3 linked regions of the Caenorhabditis elegans genome follow. Changing the gene in region 1 together with any one later gene gives a genetic interaction. Each region holds a gene or a part of one and is shown in the gene's direction. Other genes may lie near its edges.

Region 1 (7,153 bases):
GTTTCACACAAAAGGCGAAAATACGAAATATGTTCGAATGAAAAAAGACGAAAAGAATTAAAATTAACAAAAAATAAATCATCCTTCCATCTATCTTACTCCCACACTTGTCGATCTATTTCTCAGATCAGCTGGCGCCACTTTTTGAAACTTTTTGTGCCTCAGACCACCGGGGCTATCTCAATGACATCTCTATGACATCAATGTCCACCAACTTTTCCCTTCTGTTGTTTCATTTGCTCATCTCGTATGACGGGCCCAGGTCATATTTGTTCACCGATGACTTTCGCTGGGTTTTTTGAAATTTCAAAGCGTGTTGAAACAAAAATGTGTGTTTAAAATGTGTCCGCAATTTGTTTTCTTGATTCATTTCTTAGCAAAGAAAGTTCCAATTTTTGTTTCTATTACTTAAGTAGTTGCCGTAACTCAAAAATAAATTTCCATTCATTTATAATTAAAGTAATAGTTTAGTCAAAACGTAAAATTAATTAGCGTTATTAGGCCTACAATAGTTAAAAGAAAACGAGAATTTAATAATTACAAGTTATGAAGTGCATTCTTTTTTGTAATTATCCATAAATAAATCAACAAATGAACAAATTTTAATTTCTCTATTTGATATCCACACAAAAAATCATTCCAAGTTTAGACGTATTTTTTCTAACGACTTCTTACGTTTTCAAATAAAAATTACCTTTTTGAACATAATTTTCTTCTTTAACTTTTGAAAATGTAATCCTTTTACATCTCACCTATTTCAGTTTGTTTTACATTTTTATGACATCCTCATTTCATTTTTAAAACCATCAAAAACTTTTTCTTCTATTTTTCTTCGATTTGCACCCACTCCGAAGTGCACCTCAATCGTCAGCTGTTATCGTCCTTCAGTTTTTTTTTCAGAAAGTACACAATTTTCAAATTCACTGAGATTTCATAGTTGTGTTCTGTTCTCTTTTCTATATGATGTGATGTTTCACATCAATTATGAGTTAATGCATTATTTGTCCATTTGCATTCTAAAAATCTAATGGATGTCTGCCTGTTCCGTTTTGGTCTATCTTTTAAGGATTGCAATTTCTTTATTATCATTGAACCTGCCCTTTTTCTGTTGTCAATACATATTTTGATTTCAAAATTTATTGAACGGTATTTATGGGTTTTGATCTACCAAAAAAAATTTTCATACATTTTTTTAAAGTGAGACGTGAATTTTTTTTAAATTCTCAGGCTCGTTGACGGATTTTTTTTTGAATCCTAAAAATTGACGGAGAACTTTGAGAAATTAATACTTGTGATCAAAAACATGTGATTTTAAAATTATTAAAATCTGAATTCAGAAATTTTTCAAACATGCCTACATAATTTGTGACGTAGTATTGTAAGGAACAAAAAATGCCCTCTTATGCAAAATGTTGTGAAGAAAAACTCCATAACTTTTTTGCACTGCGCATTTTGAATATTTTCGAGCAGTCCTATTCGAACTTGCGTGCAACTGGTGAATAATTTCTTTTTTTTTTCTTTTTTTTTCTTGCATTTACTTCGCTCACACACACCGCAATTATTAGTTTCGGTCTCACCGAAATACGTGGTTCACCCACTTTTTCTGAACTCTTTAGTGTTTGCAGAACGAGAGTTGGCTGCCAGTGTGTGTATATGTGGAGGAAAATTTTATCAATACATGTAAAACTGATTGATTATAGGGCGGTCAATGATCGTTCAGTTTGATTTGTTCGCAAGACCATTGTATTTTGTTGCTCTTCTTCTACTACACTCGCCGCCATGATATTTTGTAATTCGAGAGTTTTGAAAGAGAAACTAATGAAAAGTTTCAATTTCAATTTTCGTTCCAGCAATCGTCATCGTTGTGCGCTTTTTGAACTTGATTTTACCGGAATAAGTTAACTTTAATAAAAAAATTCATTCAAAATTCAAACAATTATGTGAAATTTCTAAATTTCTCAATCCGTTAAGGTGACTCACGCTTTGCTTTTTTTTAAACAATATCACGAGGTTGTTATTGTTGTTGTGGTACAATGATGCATTCAAACATAGAATGATGAATTAATTTTTTAAAAACGATTGCTCAATCACCATTATTAAAATTGATTTGAAAATCTTCCGCAACCGTGAGAAATACACGTCACTTTTCTCAGGGTTTTGAAGGTGTTGCCATTGCCATTGTTTTCTGTTTCTTGTTTGATTTACTCCGGACAGCACACACTGAAAAATTGGCGGGAAGTTATCTTACAAGATACAATACGGACAAGCCAAAAACTTAGGATTTTGTCTAAGTTAACCCTTTTTTTTTGGAATTTTGAACCGATATACAAAGTTTATGAGCAATTTTTGTGAGAAATAAAAGGAATACAATTTTTTGAGAAATACGTATTTTTAAGTCAGATTGAGTTGAATCTTTTTTTTTTTGATTTTGCAGTCAAAACTACATCTTATCTGCCCGAAAATTTGAATAATTTTCTCTAGAATACAAAACATATATTTGTTTTCCACATTTTTCAATTTATCTTTTTTCGACTAGAAATACATATTCACGGTCAATTTTTATCACATAAAAGTTATATGGCAACTTATGATGAATCAATTTTCAATAAAAATGACGTGGTGGGCCCCTAACAAAGACCTAAAAATATCCATGGATGCAACTTTATTAGTTGCTACGAAACCAAAGAAAAATGCGTAGCACACACACTAATCTTTCGTTTTTCTTTGTTGCTTCTTTCTTGCATTTTTCATTCATTGTAATTTCTTTTTATTGCAGCATTCCACTTCCACTTCTCTTGATTGAATTGAATAGCATCGTTTTTTGAACCCTCATCTCCTCTCGAGGAAAAACTGAGAAATTTAAATTGCCGAGTTTGGAGCTTGGTGAAGGGAGAAGCCGTGTCATCGCGATTTGTATTTTTTTCAGTGCAGAGTCACGCACCACGTACATCAAACTTTAGAAATTTGTGGGGCTCTTATCAGAGAAATGAAAAAAAAAATGAATTGATAAAAAAAAGGGAAACCAGACTGAATTTGATAATTAGCTTTATGACGGGTCTTCTCTTTTTTCTTTTTTCTATTTAGGTATGCAAACAATATAACTTAGAGAATTTTTTTAAAATTTCGAACAATAACACATTTTTCCGACAATTTTTCTAACTCACCATCTCTTTCTGTTTTTTTGTTTTTCTTGTTTCTGATTAAAATTTCTATTGTTCCCAATGAGTCATTATTTTCCAGAGCCTTCACACTCGAATTCCTATCAACCTGTACCGTTCAATGTCAAAGACACCATGGGCTCTCGGCCTCCTGATATTTTTGCTCACTTTCACATCGCCACTGTCTTCTTCTCCGGTAAGAGCAGCGAAAAAAATGTGTGCCACGAAATCACAATGTGTGATGTCAGTACACTGACAATCTTTTGAAATGCGTTTCCAGAGGGTAACTTGCATTTGGCCTCTAATTGGAAGCATTTTCAATAGATAAGCGTCGCGTGTCCTTGGTTTCTGATCAAAAATGTATACAACAAATTGTTGTATAGGAAGAAATAGTCGTTCCAAAAGTTAACAGGGGCTATAGATTTATAAAGAAAATTAAAATTTTGAAACAATTAGTATATGAATAAATATACAATTATTGGTCATTAAAGGTAGAGTAGCGCCAGTGAAAGTTTTGCTTAAACACAATCATAATGATCGAATATCATAATAAAACAAAACACTTCAGATTGTTAAAATTTCAAGTCAAAGTTTTGGCAAATTGCCAATTTTTGCCAAGAGCAATTTCGCATGTTCCAGGATTTTTTGACACGAGTATTTGAAACAAAATAATAGTTTGAAAATCATATAAATATTTTTTTGGTTGATATCCCAAATTATGAGTGACAAAACTGAGTGATAGTCATTTTTTGGCAGGTAATAAAACATTTCCAAATTTGTTTTGAAAAGTTTTACTACGCTATTTAGTCTTTGTAGTTTCAAAAACTTTCTTTTAAACAATTTTTCAATTTCAATTTCAGTGCAAAAGTATCTTTCTTCAAAACTTTGAATAAAGCCAGACAAAAAAGGAACTTTCATTTTTTATTTAATTTTCAGGTCCGCTCCACTGACAATTCAACCTCATCAAAAGGATTATTAAATGTCAACTCTTCTGTGATATTGGAACCTTCAATTCTGCCAAGTTCAGCCTCAAAACCGGAATCACTTCATTTATCAAAAGTTCGAGTTTCGGGACTTCGCCTCGAAGCTCACGCCTCTTCTACTGAAAACATTGTTCTCGGACACAATAAGTAATACGGGGCTGATTAGAATATATACTAATTTTTAAAATCCTACTTTCAGAAAACACAATGTCGTCGTTGTCCCAAATAAGAATGTTCGAGTTGTTCTGTTCGGCCAAAATTTTCAAGACATCGGAGCTCTCACTTTCACAGCAGACGGGTCTTGTAAAGATTTGGCACATTTCTTTGAAGCCGATTTTTCTTCTATGACACCCATTCGTGTCGTTGTTGAGATGAGCTTTCCAAAGTGAGTTGATGAAAAAAAGTTTGTAAATATGAAATGGTTTTAATTCAGAACCACTGAATCAAAGGACAGTTTCAAACTCTGCGTGTCAGAAAAGTTTTATGCCAACCCTCAGTTTGTTATAGTAGAAGATCCGTTCACAATGGTCACCACTGAAATTCCGCCCGTTGATGAGTATATGCCAAAATGGCTTTCGGTGAGTTTCTGATTCCAGATATAAGCGATAGAATTAACATTAATAATTAGAAAACCATGTTTAATTTTGCAACATTTAAGCTGTTGCTGAAAAAGTTGAAATGTTAAAAAAAACAATGAAAAATCATATACGATGAATTTTATTTCCTTTAGATAAACCTTCCATTTAAAATATGGTTTTTGAGTTACAGTCGTAATCATCATTAAGAATGAACTCACGAGGTGTCGGCTGCTATATATTTTTCTATGACTTTTGTGGATCATTTAAGTATCTAGAGTCAAGTAGACATGGAAAACATTCTTTTGATGAACATTTTTCGATAGCATGTTTAGTGGTAAAATTAGCAAAATTATCAAAGCATAAAACAATTGTGTAAAAACTTTAAAAACTCATTTAATTAACTATAGTTCATTTCATTGCTTTTTTCAGTGGATCTGTTTATTAATCCTTCTGTGCTTCTCTGGTTTGTTCTCCGGTCTCAATCTTGGATTGATGACTCTGTCTCCGTATGAGCTTCAGCTTTACATCGCAAGTGGTACTGAACAAGAAAAAAGGGACGCTGGAAGAATTCTACCAATTCGCAAAAAAGGAAATCAACTGTTGTGCACATTATTGATTGGTAACGTAGTTGTAAACGTCGGCGTTTCGCTTTTGATGGACCAATTAGTGGGCAGCGGGTTTGCTGTACTTGTTGCGGCGACATCTTGTATTGTCGTGTTTGGAGAAATCATTCCACAAGCATTATGTGTGAAGTAAGGGTTTACGTAACCTGTGTGTACTTATAATTTTGAATCTCAGGCTAGGACTCCCGATTGGTGCAAGAACAATTCCAATCACACAAGTTCTCCTTTTCCTGATGTATCCTCTGACGTGGCCAATATCTAAGGTTTCATAAATTTTCTATTATCAGCCAGGAATTTGACCTTTATTCAAAAAATAATAATTTCAAATGTTTGCATGTTTTTGCAGGTCCTCGATATCTTCTTGAAAGAAGAGCTAACACGCTCGTTGGAGCGGAACAAGCTTGTCGAAATGCTCAAGTTATCCGAGAAGAGCATCATTGGAGGGCAATCTGACGAATTTAAAATGGTATTGGGTGCACTCGAGCTTTACGACAAAACCGTCGCCCACGCGATGACCCGTTACGAGGACATTTTTATGTTGCCCCATACGTTGACACTTGGCGCTGGAATGGTGACACAGATTTTAGATATGGGTTATACGCGTATTCCGATTTACGAAAGTAAGACATTTGGGGGTGAATCGTTGAATGGTGAGCTATAAAGAAACTGCATGGATAATTTATAAATTCGCAACAAAAAAAATTGTTAAATTGAAAATGTTTGCTGGGGGTAAAGCTAAAAAATGTTTAATCTTTGAAATAAGTCACGACAACTGAATTAGTAAAACTTATAATATTTGGTAATCATAGGAGTGATTTTAAATAAATTCCCTTATTGCCGCTAATCAACGTTCAAAAAATATTATTCGGCCAGGAAAAATCTAAAAAATTTATTGATGGAGTTATGTGAGAGGCTTTAGATTTATTTTACAAAAATACAACATTTACCAAAAGTATCCCAAAGCCTTTGTATAACTCTGGGCACCCTTAATAAGATCCAGATATAAAACCTGCAAACATCCGCAATTTTTCAAACCTCTCTAGTTGTGAACAGAAGAACTGAAAAATTTAAGATCAAGATTTTTCTATTATAGTTCAAAGTGTTTTCCAAATTTTTTTTGTATTTAGAGAACTAATTTAAAGGTTTTCTTTCGCCTGGCATAGGTTTTATTTGAAAAAGTGAGCTGAAATAACTATTTTGCCTGAAAATTCAATTTGATAGCTTACCAAAATCAGAGAAAATAAATAAATAAAATCAATATTTCAGATGACCGTAAGAACATTGTCGCACTTCTGTTTGTAAAAGATCTCGCATTGCTCGATCCTGACGATAATCACAATGTCATGAAAATCGCCTCAATTTACAACCATGAAGTTCGTCGTGTGTTGGTAGACATGCCACTCCGAAATATGTTGGAAGAATTTAAACGGGTAAGAACGCCTCGCTTCCAAAGACTCAATTCAATTAAGTGGATCAATCTTACCCGGTTTTTAAAAGCTTGAAAAAAAGCTTTTCAAAAGATATTTTCAACTTCATGTGTCTAGAAAAAAAACATTTAATCTACTAGAGTTCAGGGCGAATATCACATGGCGCTGGTCGAGCGACTCGTCGAGCAAGAAGATAAAGACCCGATTTACGAGCTCTGTGGACTGATTACCCTCGAGGACATCATTGAGGAAATCATTCAGTGCGAAATCATTGATGAAACTGATGCAGTGTGCGATAATGTGCACAGGAAAAAACGGCAGAGGAAGAGGGTTAGTTGACTTTTGAACAGGTACATACTAGTTGCTTAAAGGCGGAGATAGTCT
Region 2 (10,082 bases), on another chromosome or scaffold:
TTGATGTTTAAATGCAAGAAGACCCAACACTTCACTTGTCACAATTCAAACAAAAACACGAGGAAATAGAGATGATGACTTGGGTGACGGGTCCGAGACCAAAACATAAATTGTGATCAGGGTATTTGAGAATATGTTCCCGATGTGAACCCTGAAAACAAAATAAAAAAGGTATATGATCCATCGTATCCACTAGAAAAACGCGGCAAAGAAAAATAACTTTTGCTTAAATTGAAGAAAAGTTTAAAAAAGAGTTGAGCAATGCGGTGCAACAATAATGGAAGAAAAGTGCTCTACAAAATTTTCTGAAAACATTATTTTCTTACGATTTAAAATTATCTATTCGAACTCATGCTTTCCAAATTTGAAATACCGTATTTACTCTATTAGTCTTATATGCAAGATGTTATGGGACATTGCAAACTTTTTCCAAGATTCTGTTTTTATTTGAAAGGCCTAGTAAAAGTAACTAGATATTTACATTTTTGTATAAATTTTAGTTTTTGATAAGCAAATTACAAGTCAATTAAAACCTTCAAATACAAACGTCATCTACATTCTCCCAACCTTCGTCTTTTTTCCTGTAATCAATTATTCATATTTGCTGCTCCCATATGCTCACACTCCTATACGTTTATTTATAATGCATTACTTTTTTGCAACCAACAAATGACAAAAACCAGAGAATTTGTTTATATTTAATAAAGTTCTTTGTTATCCTTCTTTGACCAAAGTTGGAATGGCTCTAAGTAGTTGTCCACCTTGAATTGTTCCAACTTTCGTTTATCATCCGATTTTGGGTTTTGAAGGAACTCATGGAACTCATGATCTCCAAATCCGATATTCGCGGCGTCTTGTGACGTGGCACCGTAGTAAATTGCATCGACACGAGACCAGAGAGCAGCTCCCATACACATTGGACATGGATAGCAGGAAGTGTAGAGTTGACAACCGGATAGATCAAAGTTGTCTGGATAAATAATAGATATATGGCCAATTTGAATATAATTATATAACAGTAGATAGGATAAATAGGGAAAATAAATTAAGACGCTTCTGATCTTTTAGCAGATCTCAAATTCTCACAAAACCCCTAATAATTAGTATTTCAGTAAAGGCTTGCATGGAATCCAGGAAGTAACTTCTTACCTAAATTAAATTAAAAAGTACAGTGAACCAAATTATAGGCAATCAAAAAAGTCAAAAACCAAACACTGAAGATCAAAGCAGTAAGTGATGTCCAAACAGTGATATCTTGTAAGGAATTTACTAAATAAAAAACAATTGTAAAAAATTATAAATTATTTTCGAAATTTTGGATTCAAGAAACTAATTTTGTTTCCTTTACTAAAGTTAAAAACGAAAGGAATACTTACCGACATTCTTACAAGTATTTCTGATGGCTGTAACTTCGGCGTGTGCTGTTGGATCCTTGGTGACTAAAACCATGTTATGCCCACTACCGATTACCTTCCCATCCTTGACAATTACAGCTCCAAATGGTCCACCGTCTCCCTTCTCCATTCCTTTCTTGGCTTCTTCGATTGCGAGTTTCATGAATTCCATTTTTCTGAATTTTCAAGAAATGTTTCGATTAACCGAGTTTTTTCACGGATGAAAAATTTATTAGAAACAAAAATAAATAAAAAAATATCAAAACTACAAATGAATGAATATGTTGTAAAAACTATAGTTGCCAAAAACTTTCACTTTAACAAAAATTTGACATCGAGAGAGTACGCCAGAGATGAAGAAAAAGAAGGCGTGGGAAAAGAACAAAAAAGGAAAAGAGCGATCGGAAGCCAGTCAACCAAACAAAAAATGATGATGAACTGAATATTGTGGAGGTGTTTTCGATAGTTGCAGACATGGAAACGTATTAGATTTTAAAAATTTGTGTGTGGCAAGAGGAATTTTGATATCGAAGTTCAATAAATAGAAATTCAGAATTTAATATTTTATTGAAATCACAGGAAATTTAAAAATTGCAGAGACTTTTTTCGATATTTGGGGTACGACCAAAAAAAAAGAACAAAAATTGAAGTAGTTGTCAAACGTTGCCTTCTGTAAACTTTCAAAAACGGTACCTACTGTCTCACTGCGCCTTCAAAAAACGACAGTAATCCATTGCCCGTTTGTTAGTTGTGCTCTTCCTTTTCTCACTATTTGTATCTAAAAAGAAACAGATAAAATTATACGACAGAATATGAATATGACTAAAAATTCAAAGAAAAATTTCAATGGTTTACTGTGGTTGTTAAAGGTGCATACCTTTTTTGCGGCGGCTACGATTTGAAAATGTTCGCGCTGTGAACCAGCCCGAAATTTTTGTAATAAATTGAAATCTTTCGCAACTGGGTAATAACTCAAACTTTTTTAACTACAACTTTATAACCTGCAATTTCACTTTTAAAATGTGCGTCATTCTATGCAAATTTCTGAATTTATAATTCTCTCCGAGTTTATCCATATTAACGTCATTGCAAAATACTATGTACATGTGCCCTCAAAAAATTTTCCAATTTCTCTTTACTGAAAGTACTACGCTTTTTATTTTCTTTGTGTGCACCTTTCAAAAGTCATGCTCAATTTTGTATAGATTCCAACCGCTATTTATCTACGGAAGGAAAAAAAAACCCAACACAGAAAAAAACAAATTGACGTGTCTCTAGCTTCCCTGCGCTTCTCTCTCTCAAATGCTCTTTTATCTATCCCATGTTCGCCATTTACATCGGCTCTAAATAACACCTCTAAGCTTTCTTGAAAGATGAGTAGAATATTCAGAAGCCAAGCTTCGAGATCGATGCGGTTAGAGCAAATTCCCCTCGAATCGGTGAGATAATAAATGTATTGTTTTAAGGGTTGAAAACTGCAAAATTGCATGTTTGCATGGTCTTAACCAATTTTTGATTGACTGATAACGATAATTTCTGATAATTTTGGACTTTAGGTGAGTATTTCTTTTTAGTTCTTCGTTTTTTAAAGAGAAAATAAATACCATAAGATTGACCGGCGTCAGATATTGTGCATGGTACGCAAAGACACCGCGCGGTGTACCTCACTAGTAGGATTTACGCGGGCGTTGGTCTCGGAAAATTATTTTTTAATTGTTCAAACAATTATTTGTTTTTGTTTTTTATAAATAGCATGTTAATCATAAAAATATATATTTTTTAAAAATTAGAATTCATATTTTGTACGCTTATATTAACCGCCACTCGCATCGAAATCAATTTTTCATTAATACAACGTTATTTAATATTTCATGATTTCAGATGTCTCGCCGGAGCACAACTGATCGTTCAGACTTCAACGATAATGCTTCGAATGCTTCTTCAAATGCTTCTCGAAGGCCAACAATAAATTTTCAAGAAATAATGGAAGATCTTCCGCACCACGAAAGAGAAACCGGCGAACGTCTTCGCCGTCATCTCCAATTCTTTTTTATGAATCCAATGGAGAAATGGAAAGTCAGACATCAACTGCCCTATAAGTTGGTTCTACAAGTGCTCAAAATAGTTTTCGTTACCATGCAATTAATTTTATTCGCGGAAATGCGCATGTCTCATGTTGATTTTCTCGAAGACACCACAACAGTTATGAGACATCGATTTTTAAAAGAATGGAATGACGACAGAGATGCATTACAATATCCACCAGCTGAAGGAAGATATTCGGTTTATGATGATCAAGGATTATCCGAGCATTTGAGCTTTTTGATTAATTCTGTAAGTCGCTTTGGAGAACTATCTTGTAAAATGATCAATATTGTTTCAGTATTATTCAATTCGCAATGATTCATTTGCTTCATTTTCCTATGACGTTGTAAGTCATCCATCTGGAAATCTTGGCGCTCAAATTAGTTTTGAATCTATTCCACCTATTGAAGTTCTTATCGATCGAATTTCCAACGTAACAGTGAACAATAACACTTATAATTTCGACATTCGTGAAGTGAAAGGTATATAAACATACTATTATGAAATAAAAATAGTTTATTTCTAGACACGAAACGTCTGAATCTAACAGAAACGGAAGTCTTCCAAATCGGACAATCCGATGATGCTGTTCGAGATATTCTCGCCACTCGTGGAATCACATTTCTCCCAGAAGACGCGCTCAAGATATCGACGGTCCAATTCAAATTTCGACTACGAACAATTCATTATTCACCAACAGCCGGAGATCAGAAACCAGAATGCTATAAGATATCAGTTTCTATCAAATTTGATAATTCAAGGCATACAGGACAGGTTCATGTCACTCTATCAACTGTGGTTTCTTATGTGAATGTTTGTAATGGAAGGATCATCAAAGGTGAACACTTCACTTTTTTCAAATTTTCAAAGTAAAGCTAGTAAAAATTATAGATTATGTAATCGAAAATTACCCAATTAACATAGAATTCCAATAATTAATGGTGAAGAATCATCAAATGGGATGCTATTAAATATAACTTCAAATCTTTTATAAAAGTCTTTCTGAAACTTCGTGTTAAAATCTACATAACTTTATTTGCCTAAAAAAGTTCTTCTTGAGAGTAACATTTAGATTTTAGGTATTCAAAAATTTCCCAATTAACTTGAAATATTTAACTTCTAGGTGTACTTCTGTGTTTAAATAAAAATGAATTTTGTAATATTAAAATATCAAAATATAAAAATTCAATCAATCTCGAGTTAGGTCAAGTTTCAGGTGTTGGATGGTCATTTGACACACTTTTAATCGGCGGAACCGATATTTTCGTTCTCATTCTTTGCATTCTATCACTGATTCTCTGCTGCCGAGCCCTCATCAAAGCCCATCTACTTCAAATCAAAACAAGCGACTATTTTGAGAATGTACTCAAAAATAAGATCACCGTTACCGATCAACTCGATTTTCTGAATTTGTGGTATGTGATGATTGTGGTCAACGATGCGCTTATTATCATTGGAACTGTTGCAAAAATATCCATCGAGTTTCAGGTAATTTTTATAAAAATTTAAGTTTAATTCAAATGAAAAATTCCCTCCAATACTCAAACATAAAATATATTAAATTTAGTTCAACAAAAATACTTTTACTACAAGAAATGTGAGTAAAAATTTATATTTCCAATAACTTCCTTTCTGTATCTGTCCGTCCCATTGTTTCCATCAACTTTTCATCCCGGGATTTATCGAAACCAAATTGCCCCTCTGTATTGATTAGAAAATTATTTTCCATTAATTCTTGCATAAAACTAAGATTATTGCTTTCTTTTCAGGATTTCGACAATTCCCTCTTCACGCTAACTTCGATTTTCCTCGGAATGGGAGCTTTGCTGGTATATGTCGGAGTTCTTCGATATTTTGGATTTTTCAGTCAATATAATGTGAGTTGTTTCAAATTGCTTTATTTCATTACAACAACATTTGATCGTGTTGGAATACCAACTCCGGATATGGAATTACTTGTTATTGTAGTCTTATGCGAGTGTACTGTAGTGTAATACATTATCCAAGGTGGGCAACATATGGAAATATCCAGTGCGAATGCACGTAGATCTTGACATGTTTCACGAATGAATGACGAAGTACCAGTGTAGATCATTATCAGAGCCTATAAAAAATTTTTAAAAAAGTAAATACTCCAATAATTCATTATTTCCTTACCTGTAATAAAGCCTGCAGTACCAGTGAAAAACATACCACTAACGCTATAGAAAACATTGCAATTTCTACTCGTCGTGTTCTTTTTCGATGAAACTTAAAATTGATTATGCTTCTAATATAATATTATTCAAACTAACTTCGTTCTGAGTACCACTAGCCGTTTTTACTGTTTGAATTGTCGTTTTGTACTTAACAATTGTTGTGAAATTCGCTGCAACACATATTACGGCGAGAAGAATCGACACAAAACACAGCGCCGTACTGTTTCTAGGCTGTAATTTTATTGATTTTCATATTTTGTGTTTGGTGGAAACCATACCAAAAATCCTATCAACAGTTTCACTCTGTATACCATTTGATAATTGGATCGATTTTCGTATAGTGGTAAGAAATAAGCGTCATAGGTGACTAAGTGCCATGTAGTAATTAATGGAAGAATGTAGACAAGTGCGATTGCACTGCGGACGTTCTTTTGCCAAAACTTTAATTTTTTAGGAGATTCATATTTTTCGGATGGGAAGGCTCACCGAATTACAGTAATACGGGAAAAGTACAGAAGTCATTCGATTGATGCATATTAATGTTATTGAATAAAAGTTCACATAGATCAAGTAATACGAGAGAAAGTAGATTATAGTCATAGGTATTCCTTCTGGGATGTATGAAGGAAGATTTTCAAAAAGACCAGAAATTGGAAGACGTGTAAATAGAAAGTCGATTATAAAAAGTGCAACATTCTGAAAAAGTTTACACTTTTTATCCGAAAGGTCTATGTACTTACAATATAGAAATCATTTGTGAAAATCACATTGAAATAGCTGCTAGTGACGCTTTCCTTCGTCAAAAACGTGCGGCATTTATGATATGCTATAAATGATGGAACAGTGTAGAGTAGATGAATTAGAAGTAGAGGTTGTCTGGAAATCTCGATTACATTTTAGGCGCGAAATGTTGAAATTTTTGCTGGTATATAATAAAAAAAAAGCGGATGAATGTCCAGAATTCGATTAAGCTCCTTATTTTCGTGAAATTTTTTGCTTAATTTACGTTTAAAATATGTTCAAATAAACTTACCTATAATCAAACGCATATGCCACATTTCTAATTTCACCATCAGATACTGAAACTACTGTTTCGTTTCCATGCGAGAAAATGGAACTCATTCGAAAAAATTGTTCGAAATGAAGAAGACAAAGAAAAAGGAAAAGAGCTCAATGGTCTTCAAATTTAATTGAAAAGACCACCGACCAATAGAATGTTGCCCTGCAAACAACAAGTTTTAAACTTGTGAAAATTGGGGAAATTAAGGGGAGTAGATGGAAGGATCCATTTACATTAACAAGCTAAAGCATACTACAAACATTACAAAATTAAGGATTGGCGTATGTATATATATATATTGAAAGCTTCGAACTGGAAAACTTCGACTTGATTAGACGACGTCTAACAACGCGTGATTAAGATTTTGTTGTTCATAGAAACTGAGTTAATTAATCACGCATTGTCTAGAATGATGTCAAAGTGTATTTGATGTGAAAAGTGCAAATGTAAATGAAAATTCTCCAGAGATTAAATATTTCTTTAATTTGATATTGTTTCACTGGTGCCCCCAAAAGTATCACGTTTGAGAGAAGGAAAAGTTTAAAAGAGAAGTCAAAAAGCCGTATCTAAAACCTTGGCACAACTAAAATAAAGAGGGTCTTATGTCAAAACATAAATCAATTTTCATACCTCTTTTGTTTCTTCCTGGTATCTTGAAAATTGGAAACGAGAAAATGATGTCAACAATACCGAATTTTTAAATATTCTTAACTCTTTCTTTTAAGAGAAAATCTTTTTCTGAAAGTTTACAAAAATGAATCCGAATTTTTATTCAAATTTTTGCTGTTGGTGAGAAAAACATGATTAAAATAATTTCAAAAAATGAGAATAATTGCCAAAAAAAAAATTTGATAGTTGCTCTTCGATTATCCGCAAGATATAAATTTGAAAATTCCAAAAAAATTAAAAATTATTTTTAAATGTTGTAGTGAGTAGTTCTAGCTAATTTCCGAAAAAAGGAAAATATAAAATAGAAAAAAAACCATTTTAATTTTATAAAAATTCGGGAAAATTCTTGAAATTTACGTTCTTTAATTTTTCAGATAAAATTTAAAAAGCAAGATCCTATGTTAAATAATTGGCACAATCTAGAACAAGCCAGTTCTAGATTGAGCCAATTATTTAACAAAATCACTCTATAAGTAAAAATAACCGCAATCAAAGAGAAAAGCTAAATATAATGGAATGATTAAAATACTAAAAAAACTTTTAAAAAAGCTTCTGCTGGTTTCAAACGATAAAAGTGAAGGAAAAATGTTTATTTTTGCCATTTTCCAGATCCTCATGCTCACGCTCAAACGATCGGCACCCAATATCATGCGCTTCATGACGTGTGCCATTGTACTTTACGCTGGTTTCTTGATTGCCGGATGGGTTATTATTGGCCCGTACAGTATGAAGTTCCGTACACTGGCAGAATCATCGGAAGCTCTATTTTCGCTTCTCAACGGTGACGATATGTTCGCCACGTTTTACACTATTAATGATTCCAATACAGTTATCAAGGTAAAGATTTTTCTTTTTTTTTTCTAGATTATCTTAAATATTTCAGGTATTTGGGACAGTGTACATCTACCTATTCGTGTCACTCTTTATCTATGTAGTATTATCACTGTTCATTGCAATTATCATGGATGCATATGAAGTCGTCAAGGTAATAATGAACAGAGCAAATGAACATGAAAATGAGAACAAAAAGCTCGAAAAAACAACTGAAGAAAGAGCAATAGACCACGCCAATGGGATGCTGTTTGAGTGTTGATGAAAATTGGAAAAATGAAAACAACAAGAAAGCAATAGCTCTTCATTTTCCTTGCCCATCCATCTATTTTTAATTATTGCGGCGAAAAATGAAAGATGATCAAGTGCTTACTCGCAGCTAAAAATGAAATTCTATGTCAGAAGACAAGGAGACTAGTCAAATGTCAGATTTCGGTGTAACCAATGATTTAGTTTTTGTCTTGCCGAGGTCTGAAAGAGAAAGCATAGACACCACCAGTCTCAAATTATTTTTTTTTTTTGAGAATTCATCATTCTGTAACTAGTGAAACTCGAAATTGGCTCAAAGAAATGAGAACCCACCCTTTTTGACATACGTATTATAGGTTTGCAGAAAATTTGACTTTTGAAATTTAGGTGCAAGTGCGCATCAATCACTTTTCAACTTCACATGCATTTATTTAAAAAAAAAACATAATTTCGACTTGAAAAACTGAAAAAAATAAAAAAAATAACGAAATTTTTTTCAAATTTCTACTGAATTTACGGTCTGGTCAGGGCGGGGAATTTTTTACGCGCCTCCATAATATTAACCATGTTAATGAATTTTTAAATTTAAGAAATAACAAAACGGTAAAAGTTAATAATTATATCTCATTCATTCCAGGATCGCTACTCAGACGGTCTTCGAGCCATCGAAAAACGTGGATGTCTTCGCGATTTCGTGGAATCGAATCCACCGCCGTCGGAACTCGGCTCACCGACGACTCGATCCGCCTACGCACCGTCTAATCTGCTCAATCTGGGTCGGTGCGTGCCTGTTGAAGTGACACGAATCTTTCTCTGTTCAGGCTTTCTACACACTTTTTCATTTTTCTTACATTTATGCACGCCAAACAAACTTGGTTGCTAGTTTTGGTGATGGTGTTGTGACAGCAGCAACTAACAGCGTCGTGTAGTGGTTTGACAGTACTAAAACAATCACAAAAGCATTAAAACAATTAAAATATAGAATAACAGTCTCTAGATTACAGTTAGCATAGTAGCACGTACAAAAAACTAACTAGATATTGCAGTTGTTCATCAGTTCGTTCGAAAACATTCAGTTTCTCTAATTTCAGCGGCTGGCAACGACTCGAGTAGAGCTCTTCGTGCTCTTCATGCCATTGACAATGCTCGCGATTGGCTGAGCAGCTTAAGAGATGGAACTCGGTAATTTTAATTTTAAAAGTGTATTAGGAGGGCTTGTTTCGTTTTGCAAGTTTTCGACTAAAATCTACTAAAAATTTTCGATACTCTATTAACTGAACGAGATAATTTGAAAATTGATAAATAATCCCTCTGGTTTTTCAGTTTTCAATCATTCTCCAACCCGCTGAACGACTCAAATGAAGATGTATTAGCCGACCAAAATGCCAATGGAAACGATCCTCACAATTCTAGGCCATCGAATGTATAGAGTTTCTCAATTTAATTTTCTTTTGTTATCAAAAACAACTTTGTCTGTATTTTTGGTCATCTTCATTCATCTTCCATCCCATCCGTTTCTTTCTCCTTCCTCTTTCATATTTATTCCCCTCTGAACAACCTACTTATCATGTGTATATGTGGTGCTATGTACTTTTG
Region 3 (7,053 bases), on another chromosome or scaffold:
TTGTCATTGTGTCTTGCAATAAGAAGAACGTGAAGGGGCTCCTCCAAGTGTTCATTTCTCTTCCTCACTCTTTCATCCATTGCCTTGTTTCTGACAGATCCGGCTCCACGAATAAGAAGAGTAACATCATATTGATTTTCAATCATTCTTGCAGACATTCCTGATGGACCAAGAATGCGACCAATGTAGTTGCATTTTCTGAAAGAAATCAGCATATATTTTTATTTCTGTAATTCGATGAGACTTCTATTCAAAGTAGCTCATCCGGTCAAGATAATGCGTTTCTTCCTAAGCAACCACAACCAACAGAAAACTTGTTAAAGAACTAACACTTTCTTCCCGTCAATGGAAACCGGTGGCTCCGGAATATAAACTTTTGTCTGAAGCACATGCTGAGTATCATTAATTTTCTCACGAGACCAATCTCCAAGATCTTGATCCGGAGATCGCATTCTTCCATTTCTAATTGGTGTCATGAATGAATTATGATAAAACGATGTGGACAACGCATGGTTTGGAAGAGATGGACGAGATGGGAATGGAGATGCAGAGTAGCCAGAATTTGCGGAATGCGGCTGAAAATACATATGTTCCAACCGAATTCTATAAGGAGTATTAGTATACCGAGTAAAAATCATTCTTATTATAATCTGAACCATATCCATTATCTATAAACCCTTGACCGTGACGATACAATTCATCGAAAACTTTCGAAATCTCTTTTGACAACAACATTCTTGCATTTTTACAATCAATTGGTGTCTCCGATAATTGTCTCATCTCATTGATCAGCTCGTTCAGATAACTGAAATATTATAAGTTCGACTCTGAAACTTAAACTTTCTTATTAACTTACAGGCTTGCGGAAGTCGAGAGCATCGTAGGATAGAACTTTTTCAAAAGTGAATAATAACGAAGAATGAGGAAATAATGAAAATATTGACTTGGACTAGAATGAGAAGGGGAGATTAGAATAAAGAAGATCACGTGAAACGTCCAAATATGAAACACTTTTATATATTTTCCAAAGTATGAGAAGATTTAAGATTAGTTATCACAAAAGAGAGATTAAAGAAGATAAACTGAAAATAATTCAAAAAGCGAATAGAGAAATTCCTAAAATCTTGGTTTCAAGAATGTTATAGGAACCGAAAAATGTTTTAATTTATTACGCTCTCTTGGATATTAAAAATTAGAAGCAAGCCTGCTTCTTGTGATACCTGCAAAGTGAGTTCTAATTATTCAAAGTTTTGCTATTAATAAAAAAATTTGAAGCGATACTGCACATGCGAGCAGATTCATTTCATGCTTGTTGTCTAAACCTTCCACGTAGACAAAAATTTATCCGCCCGCCTGGTTTTTCGACCTAAAACATTAAAGTTGTTGTAGCAGAGTTGTAGAGTTGTAGCAGAAAATAATTTGCATGGCGAGAACAAGCATTTTGGAACAAGCAAGAAGATAAACATAATCATTTTGATAAACCAAAAAAAAATTAATGTTGCTATTATTTTTGAAATCGTGAACTGCTGATTAGAAAAATGAAAACAATAGACCAGGGGGGGGGGGTGAATTTACGTGAGTTCAAAAAACAGTTTGACTTTCCTCATTCCCAGCTTTGCTCTCATCAAAGTTCATAAACGGATCAATACCAGCAAAGGATGGCAAAATACTTTGGCGCCACAGATGCATTCAATGCAATTGTTCAAAAAGTCGACGAAACACTTATTCAAGCAGAATCCCATCTTCGTAATCTTCATGAAGATACAGTGGGAGCAAAGCCGTCTGATAGTTTGCCGGACCGCACTATCGTTCCGTCCCCGTGAGTTGTATTTGCTTTTTTTCTCAGTAATATTTAAAATAATGAGCATTGAACGAATAATAACTTTTGCTCTATTGCACTCTGCTGTACGTCAAGCGTAAGCTATTGGACGTTTTGCTATGAAAATGTTGATTCTAACTTAGTGTCTAAACCTTTTCATATAGATCTTCTCAATCGGAACGTTCATGCTCCCCGGAGCCTCGTATTGTTGCTCCTCAATTGTCTGCATACTCTGGATCATCCGCTGCGTCTTCTTCTTCCGTGAATCATATTGATGTGAAGAGCAAGTCGTATTTGGCATTGGATAAGAAGAAAGCACTGATCATGACTTCGCTCAAGTCAAAGAGAGTTATGAACGATAGTGATGTGACAAAAGTTCAGAAATTGTAGGTTTTTCTGAAATTATTCTGTTAGATCAATTTTATTTTTCAGGATCGATGACTTGTTCGGAAAACAAACTTCTTCGTCCTCATCTTCCATGTCCATCCTTCAGTTGTAGCAAATAGAGATCCTATGAACTGAATAAATAGATTCATTTTCCCGTGGTTTTTTTTTAATTAGTGAAAATCATCTTAGAAGTCACATTGACGAAATTCAACTGAAAATGTTTTAAAGAAAACAAAAAACTTCTATCTTACAAGTAGATCTTGTCTTTTTCGAATGAAGAATCAAAGTCATTCGCGAGAAAATAAGACGTTTGGAGATTTTGGAATATTTGAAGCCTGCTGAGAGATTGCAGAGAGTCAGAAAGGATAATCGCCAGTTGTCGCTAACATAATAAATAGTTAATTAGCTTCTTCAAAGTTTCGTATTTATAAAACATCATTTGTCTTTTTTGATAAAGCTAAAAAGTGTAGACATCATTTAAACCTTATGATAAAACAAAAAGACAACGCCTGACCGACAAAACGCTTAAAATCCATAAAATTGAAATTAAGTCAATATTGAAAATGTTATCTATGCAATGGATCATATGCCATTTCAGATTATTGATTTATATAATCTAATTTAACACTTTAAATGTGTAGTTTCCAGAGCCAATAGTTTTATCATCAGACATCGAAAAGTGTGTACTCTTCTCTTTCTTTTTTTTTTTTCGTATTCTTTCATTTCTGCTGGCCGCAGCTCACTTTCTATCGAATACCTCTTTTCGACTCATTATCAAAAATGATCACCGACAAAAATTTGTTTAGTCGTCTTCTGATTAAAAAGAATCCAATACGTATGCACTCTCCCTCATTCTCATTTTCTCTTATCACTTCGCTCTTTTTCACTCAATTTTTCATGTTTCAACTGTCATCTATGGCTTACTTTTTTTTGACTTTAATAGCGGGGGTAACTCACTTTTACTTTCCTGGTTACCGTTTTTCATTGATTTATTTTCTCTTAAAAATTATATTGTGAAAAGATTTTTATTCCAGAAAAACTTCTGGGAAAATCAGAAAATCTAGATCATCGATACCAAAGTTCAGAGCAAAAAGTTTTAATTGAATGGACAGAAAACGTGGAAGTATAGTTCCTGCAATTCATGTGAGGTTTTAAAATTCCATATAAATGTTGATCGGTCATAAATAATTATATTACTCATTGAGTATTAAAAAACATCACAAATGTTTTCAGAAAGCAGTTGCAGAAAGTCTTCGAGCGAACAGTGTTACTGTAGAAGAAAATGAGAGTGAAAGAGAGACAGAGACACAGACAAAAAGGAGAAGAAAGAAGCAAAGAAGCACTAGTTGTAGGTTTTTTAAAGTTTATAGTTTTTGAAACATAATTACCTTAAAAGAATTCATTAACAATTTTAATTAATTTTTAATTTTAATCCAAATGTGGAAACTCGGCAATCCGCCGCAACTTATTCAACAACATTAGCAACTTTAGCGCCAAATTTATTGTCTTGCAACTTTTAGATATAGTTAGCAACTTCTTTCCCGACTTTAGCATATTTTAAACCAAGTTTAGCCAACTTTTGCGCTTGGAATTTTTGAAGTTGCTAAAGTTGCTGGAAAGTTGCAGCGAGTTGCCCAGAAATGTGATAAAAATCATGCAATTTTATTCTGAAAAGGAATTTAAAAAAAACACCTCCAGAATAAATTTTCAATTTCAGCTGACAAAGCCCCCTTGAACTCAGCTCCAAGACATGTTCAGAAGTTTGATTGGAAGGATATGCTCCATTTGGCAGACATATCTGGAAGAAAAGTTTGAGTTTTGTCAAATGATCAAAATCTTTAAAAGTGTACTGTTCAGCGCGGAAACTCGACAACAAGCCATTCTGGACACGCAACTAGAGCTGGTTCTTTGGTAAGTGGCAGAAAGTTGATACAGTGGAACAGAAATATAAATATTGTCTATTTTTATTTTTAGAAGGGAAAAAACTGGATAGAATGTCGTCTTAAAATGAGACAATGTTCATATTTTGTCCCATCGCAACGATTTTCGGAACGATGTGGATGTGGTAAGGAAAGATCAAAGCATACAGAAGAAGTATTGGAAAGAAGTCAGAATAAAAATCATCCATTAAATCATTTAACTCTTCCTGGTATTCATGAAGTAGATACAACGGATGCAGATGCAGATGATAATGAGGTAATTATTTTGAATTAAAATTATTTTCCTGAAAGCTTGTTCAGGTAAACTTAACTCCTGGTCGTTGGTCAATTCAATCACACACAGAAATTGTACCAACTGATGCATATGGAAATATTGTATTCGAAGGTATGCTTTATCTTTCTGCCTATTCTTATGTTGTGAAAAAACTTTTTTCCAAATTATCTCAAATATTTAAAAATTGAAAAGTTAATCTAAAAATTCAGGAACTGCTCACCACGCACAATATGCTCGAATAAGTTTTGATTCGGATCCAAGAGATATTGTTCATTTAATGATGAAAGTTTGGAAACTTAAACCTCCAAAATTGATTATCACCATAAACGGCGGACTAACAAAGTTTGAGTGAGTAGTTTGAAGTTAACCTTGAAAACAAATTTTAATTTGTTTGATTATTTTCAGGAATATTAGACTCACTGGAAATATTAAACTTTCAATTTTCTCTTAAACACCATTCAAAGCAGTATATAAGAGTTGAACCTGATCTTTCGTTCTAAATTAATCTCCCTTAACACCTACTGAATGTACATAAGACTCTTATAATCTTTTCCGTTCCCAGGACATACCCCTCACCTTTTTTCTATCAATTACTTCTCTTCCAAATTCCTCACTGATACCTTTACCGTTTTTTACGTCACGAAGAATGCCACAATTCTCCGAGGTGGTTGGGGTTTGATGTGATAAAATTTGATCGAGAATAATGATATCACAGAGTGGAAGCATAAATGAAGATGATAATGATAAGATAATATTTGCAGTCTGCAACCGAAATTGGCACGAACGTTCCGAAAAGGAATCATGAAGATTGCAAAGTCAACTGATGCATGGATTATTACTTCTGGGTTGGATGAAGGAGTTGTAAAGCATTTGGATTCAGCATTACATGGTTAGAATAACTATAAAACTTCATAGGAATAATAAGAGCAAGTAGATTTAAAATGAAAAATGGGAGTACGGAACAGATCTCTAGCTTCTGGTCCAGATACTTCAAAAGTTTGGAAAAATTCAAAAAGTGTGCACACATTTTAAAAAAATTGTATAAATTTGCAAAAATCTCAGCTTTGGAATTTTGGTCTTTTGGGCTATTTTGGGTTATTCAATTGGACGTCCTCCTCGCCCACTCGATGTTCATACCGAGAGGCTCACTTTTTGGTGAATACATTTTCTATATTCAATAGAATTTTCCAGGCATTTGTTGATAGCATGATATGTGAAATTTTCAAGCATAAAACATCCTTAGAGCCTGTGACTTAAAATTATAAATTTTAAAATTTAGACCATGGAAACCATACATCAAAGAATCACGTGGTAGCTATTGGAATAGCTTCGTGGGGAATGTTGAAACAGAGAAGTCGATTTGTTGGAAAAGATTCAACAGTAACATATGCAACAAATGTGTTCAATAACACAAGATTGAAAGAACTCAATGATAATCATTCGTACTTTTTGTTTTCCGACAATGGAACCGTCAACCGGTAGATAATTCAAGTTTATTAGTAAATCACAGTATTATTCAGATATGGTGCTGAAATCATAATGCGAAAACGATTGGAAGCATATTTAGCTCAAGGCGACAAAAAGAGAAGTGCAATTCCATTAGTTTGTGTTGTACTGGAGGGAGGAGCATTCACTATCAAAATGGTTCATGATTATGTAACAACGTATGTTCTGTAAATTGTCGTGAATTATAAATTGCATTCCTCAAATTGTTTTAAAACAATCAACACGTCGGTAATAGAAGTAACATTTTTCAGTATTCCCCGTATACCCGTAATTGTTTGTGATGGAAGTGGTCGAGCAGCAGATATTCTGGCTTTTGCTCATCAAGCTGTGTCACAAAATGGGTTAGTTTTAGGTAAAAGTCGTACTTCATTGTTTCTAATATTTTTAGATTTTTATCCGACAATATCAGAAATCAGTTGGTAAACATTGTTCGAAGAATATTTGGATATGATCCGAAAACAGCTCAGAAATTAATCAAGCAGATTGTTGAATGCTCTACAAACAAGTCTTTGGTAATTTCCTGATTTGTTGAAACTTCTTCAACGTTTGTTTCAGATGACAATTTTTCGTTTGGGTGAATCATCGAGAGAAGATTTGGATCACGTAATCATGTCATGTCTTTTAAAAGGTCAAAACCTATCACCACCAGAACAACTTCAACTGGCTCTTGCTTGGAACAGAGCTGACATTGCTAGAACTGAAATCTTCGCAAATGGAACTGAATGGACTACTCAAGACTTGCACAATGCAATGATTGAAGCACTTTCCAATGATCGTATCGATTTCGTACATTTACTTCTTGAGAACGGAGTTTCTATGCAAAAGTTTTTAACTTACGGAAGGCTGGAGCATCTCTATAACACTGACAAAGGACCTCAAAATACTCTGAGAACTAATCTGTTAGTTGACTCAAAACATCACATAAAACTTGTCGAAGTTGGAAGATTAGTCGAGAACTTGATGGGAAATCTATACAAATCGAATTACACAAAGGAAGAATTCAAAAATCAATATTTTTTGTTCAACAATAGAAAGCAGGTTTGTCGAGTTTATAATGATTATAAACATTCCGATGATAACATTAGCTAAAATCTTGTGTTCATGATAGTTTGTATAATCTCTTTAAA

Evidence for each region. Genes that interact genetically often act in the same process or in processes that back each other up.
Region 2: of cnnm-3 (region 1) and cup-5, changing one suppresses a phenotype caused by changing the other (phenotypic suppression), as found in Caenorhabditis elegans (one study listed by BioGRID).
Region 3: of cnnm-3 (region 1) and gtl-1, changing one suppresses a phenotype caused by changing the other (phenotypic suppression), as found in Caenorhabditis elegans (one study listed by BioGRID).

Annotation. Positions count from the first base shown.
Region 1 is NC_003284.9:3,041,933-3,049,085, reverse strand, and holds the start of cnnm-3 (Metal transporter cnnm-3), read left to right. Parts: upstream 1-3,238; 5' UTR 3,239-3,279; coding exon 3,280-3,354; intron 3,355-4,094; coding exon 4,095-4,288; intron 4,289-4,340; coding exon 4,341-4,526; intron 4,527-4,574; coding exon 4,575-4,719; intron 4,720-5,148; coding exon 5,149-5,471; intron 5,472-5,517; coding exon 5,518-5,605; intron 5,606-5,688; coding exon 5,689-5,962; exon of another isoform or gene 5,963-5,992; intron 5,993-6,608; coding exon 6,609-6,772; intron 6,773-6,916; coding exon 6,917-7,099; intron 7,100-7,153.
Region 2 is NC_003281.10:7,581,414-7,591,495, forward strand, and holds the start of cup-5 (Polycystin cation channel PKD1/PKD2 domain-containing protein), read left to right. Parts: upstream 1-3,269; 5' UTR 3,270-3,275; coding exon 3,276-3,728; intron 3,729-3,777; coding exon 3,778-3,961; intron 3,962-4,005; coding exon 4,006-4,317; intron 4,318-4,683; coding exon 4,684-4,967; intron 4,968-5,046; coding exon of another isoform or gene 5,047-5,076; intron 5,077-5,248; coding exon 5,249-5,356; exon of another isoform or gene 5,357-5,376; coding exon of another isoform or gene 5,377-5,583; intron 5,584-5,636; coding exon of another isoform or gene 5,637-5,729; intron 5,730-5,773; coding exon of another isoform or gene 5,774-5,908; intron 5,909-5,955; coding exon of another isoform or gene 5,956-6,117; intron 6,118-6,163; coding exon of another isoform or gene 6,164-6,373; intron 6,374-6,417; coding exon of another isoform or gene 6,418-6,553; intron 6,554-6,710; coding exon of another isoform or gene 6,711-6,799; exon of another isoform or gene 6,800-6,901; intron 6,902-8,015; coding exon 8,016-8,243; intron 8,244-8,289; coding exon 8,290-8,391; intron 8,392-9,123; coding exon 9,124-9,262; coding exon of another isoform or gene 9,263-9,369; exon of another isoform or gene 9,370-9,577; coding exon 9,578-9,668; intron 9,669-9,809; coding exon 9,810-9,915; 3' UTR 9,916-10,082. Other genes in the region: gda-2 (CMP/dCMP-type deaminase domain-containing protein), read right to left, coding at 699-970, 1,377-1,566; R13A5.15 (Serpentine receptor class gamma), read right to left, coding at 5,377-5,583, 5,637-5,729, 5,774-5,908, 5,956-6,117, 6,164-6,373, 6,418-6,553, 6,711-6,799.
Region 3 is NC_003282.8:11,255,723-11,262,775, reverse strand, and holds the start of gtl-1 (TRPM SLOG domain-containing protein), read left to right. Parts: upstream 1-3,240; 5' UTR 3,241-3,310; coding exon 3,311-3,349; intron 3,350-3,439; coding exon 3,440-3,554; intron 3,555-3,923; coding exon 3,924-4,015; intron 4,016-4,063; coding exon 4,064-4,117; intron 4,118-4,180; coding exon 4,181-4,402; intron 4,403-4,446; coding exon 4,447-4,531; intron 4,532-4,629; coding exon 4,630-4,768; intron 4,769-5,181; coding exon 5,182-5,309; intron 5,310-5,699; coding exon 5,700-5,898; intron 5,899-5,940; coding exon 5,941-6,084; intron 6,085-6,177; coding exon 6,178-6,267; intron 6,268-6,314; coding exon 6,315-6,438; intron 6,439-6,481; coding exon 6,482-6,964; intron 6,965-7,053. Other genes in the region: F54D1.1 (KHDC4/BBP-like KH-domain type I domain-containing protein), read right to left, coding at 1-198, 331-575, 625-805, 857-879; C05C12.5 (Phosphoprotein), read left to right, coding at 1,659-1,819, 1,984-2,205, 2,252-2,318.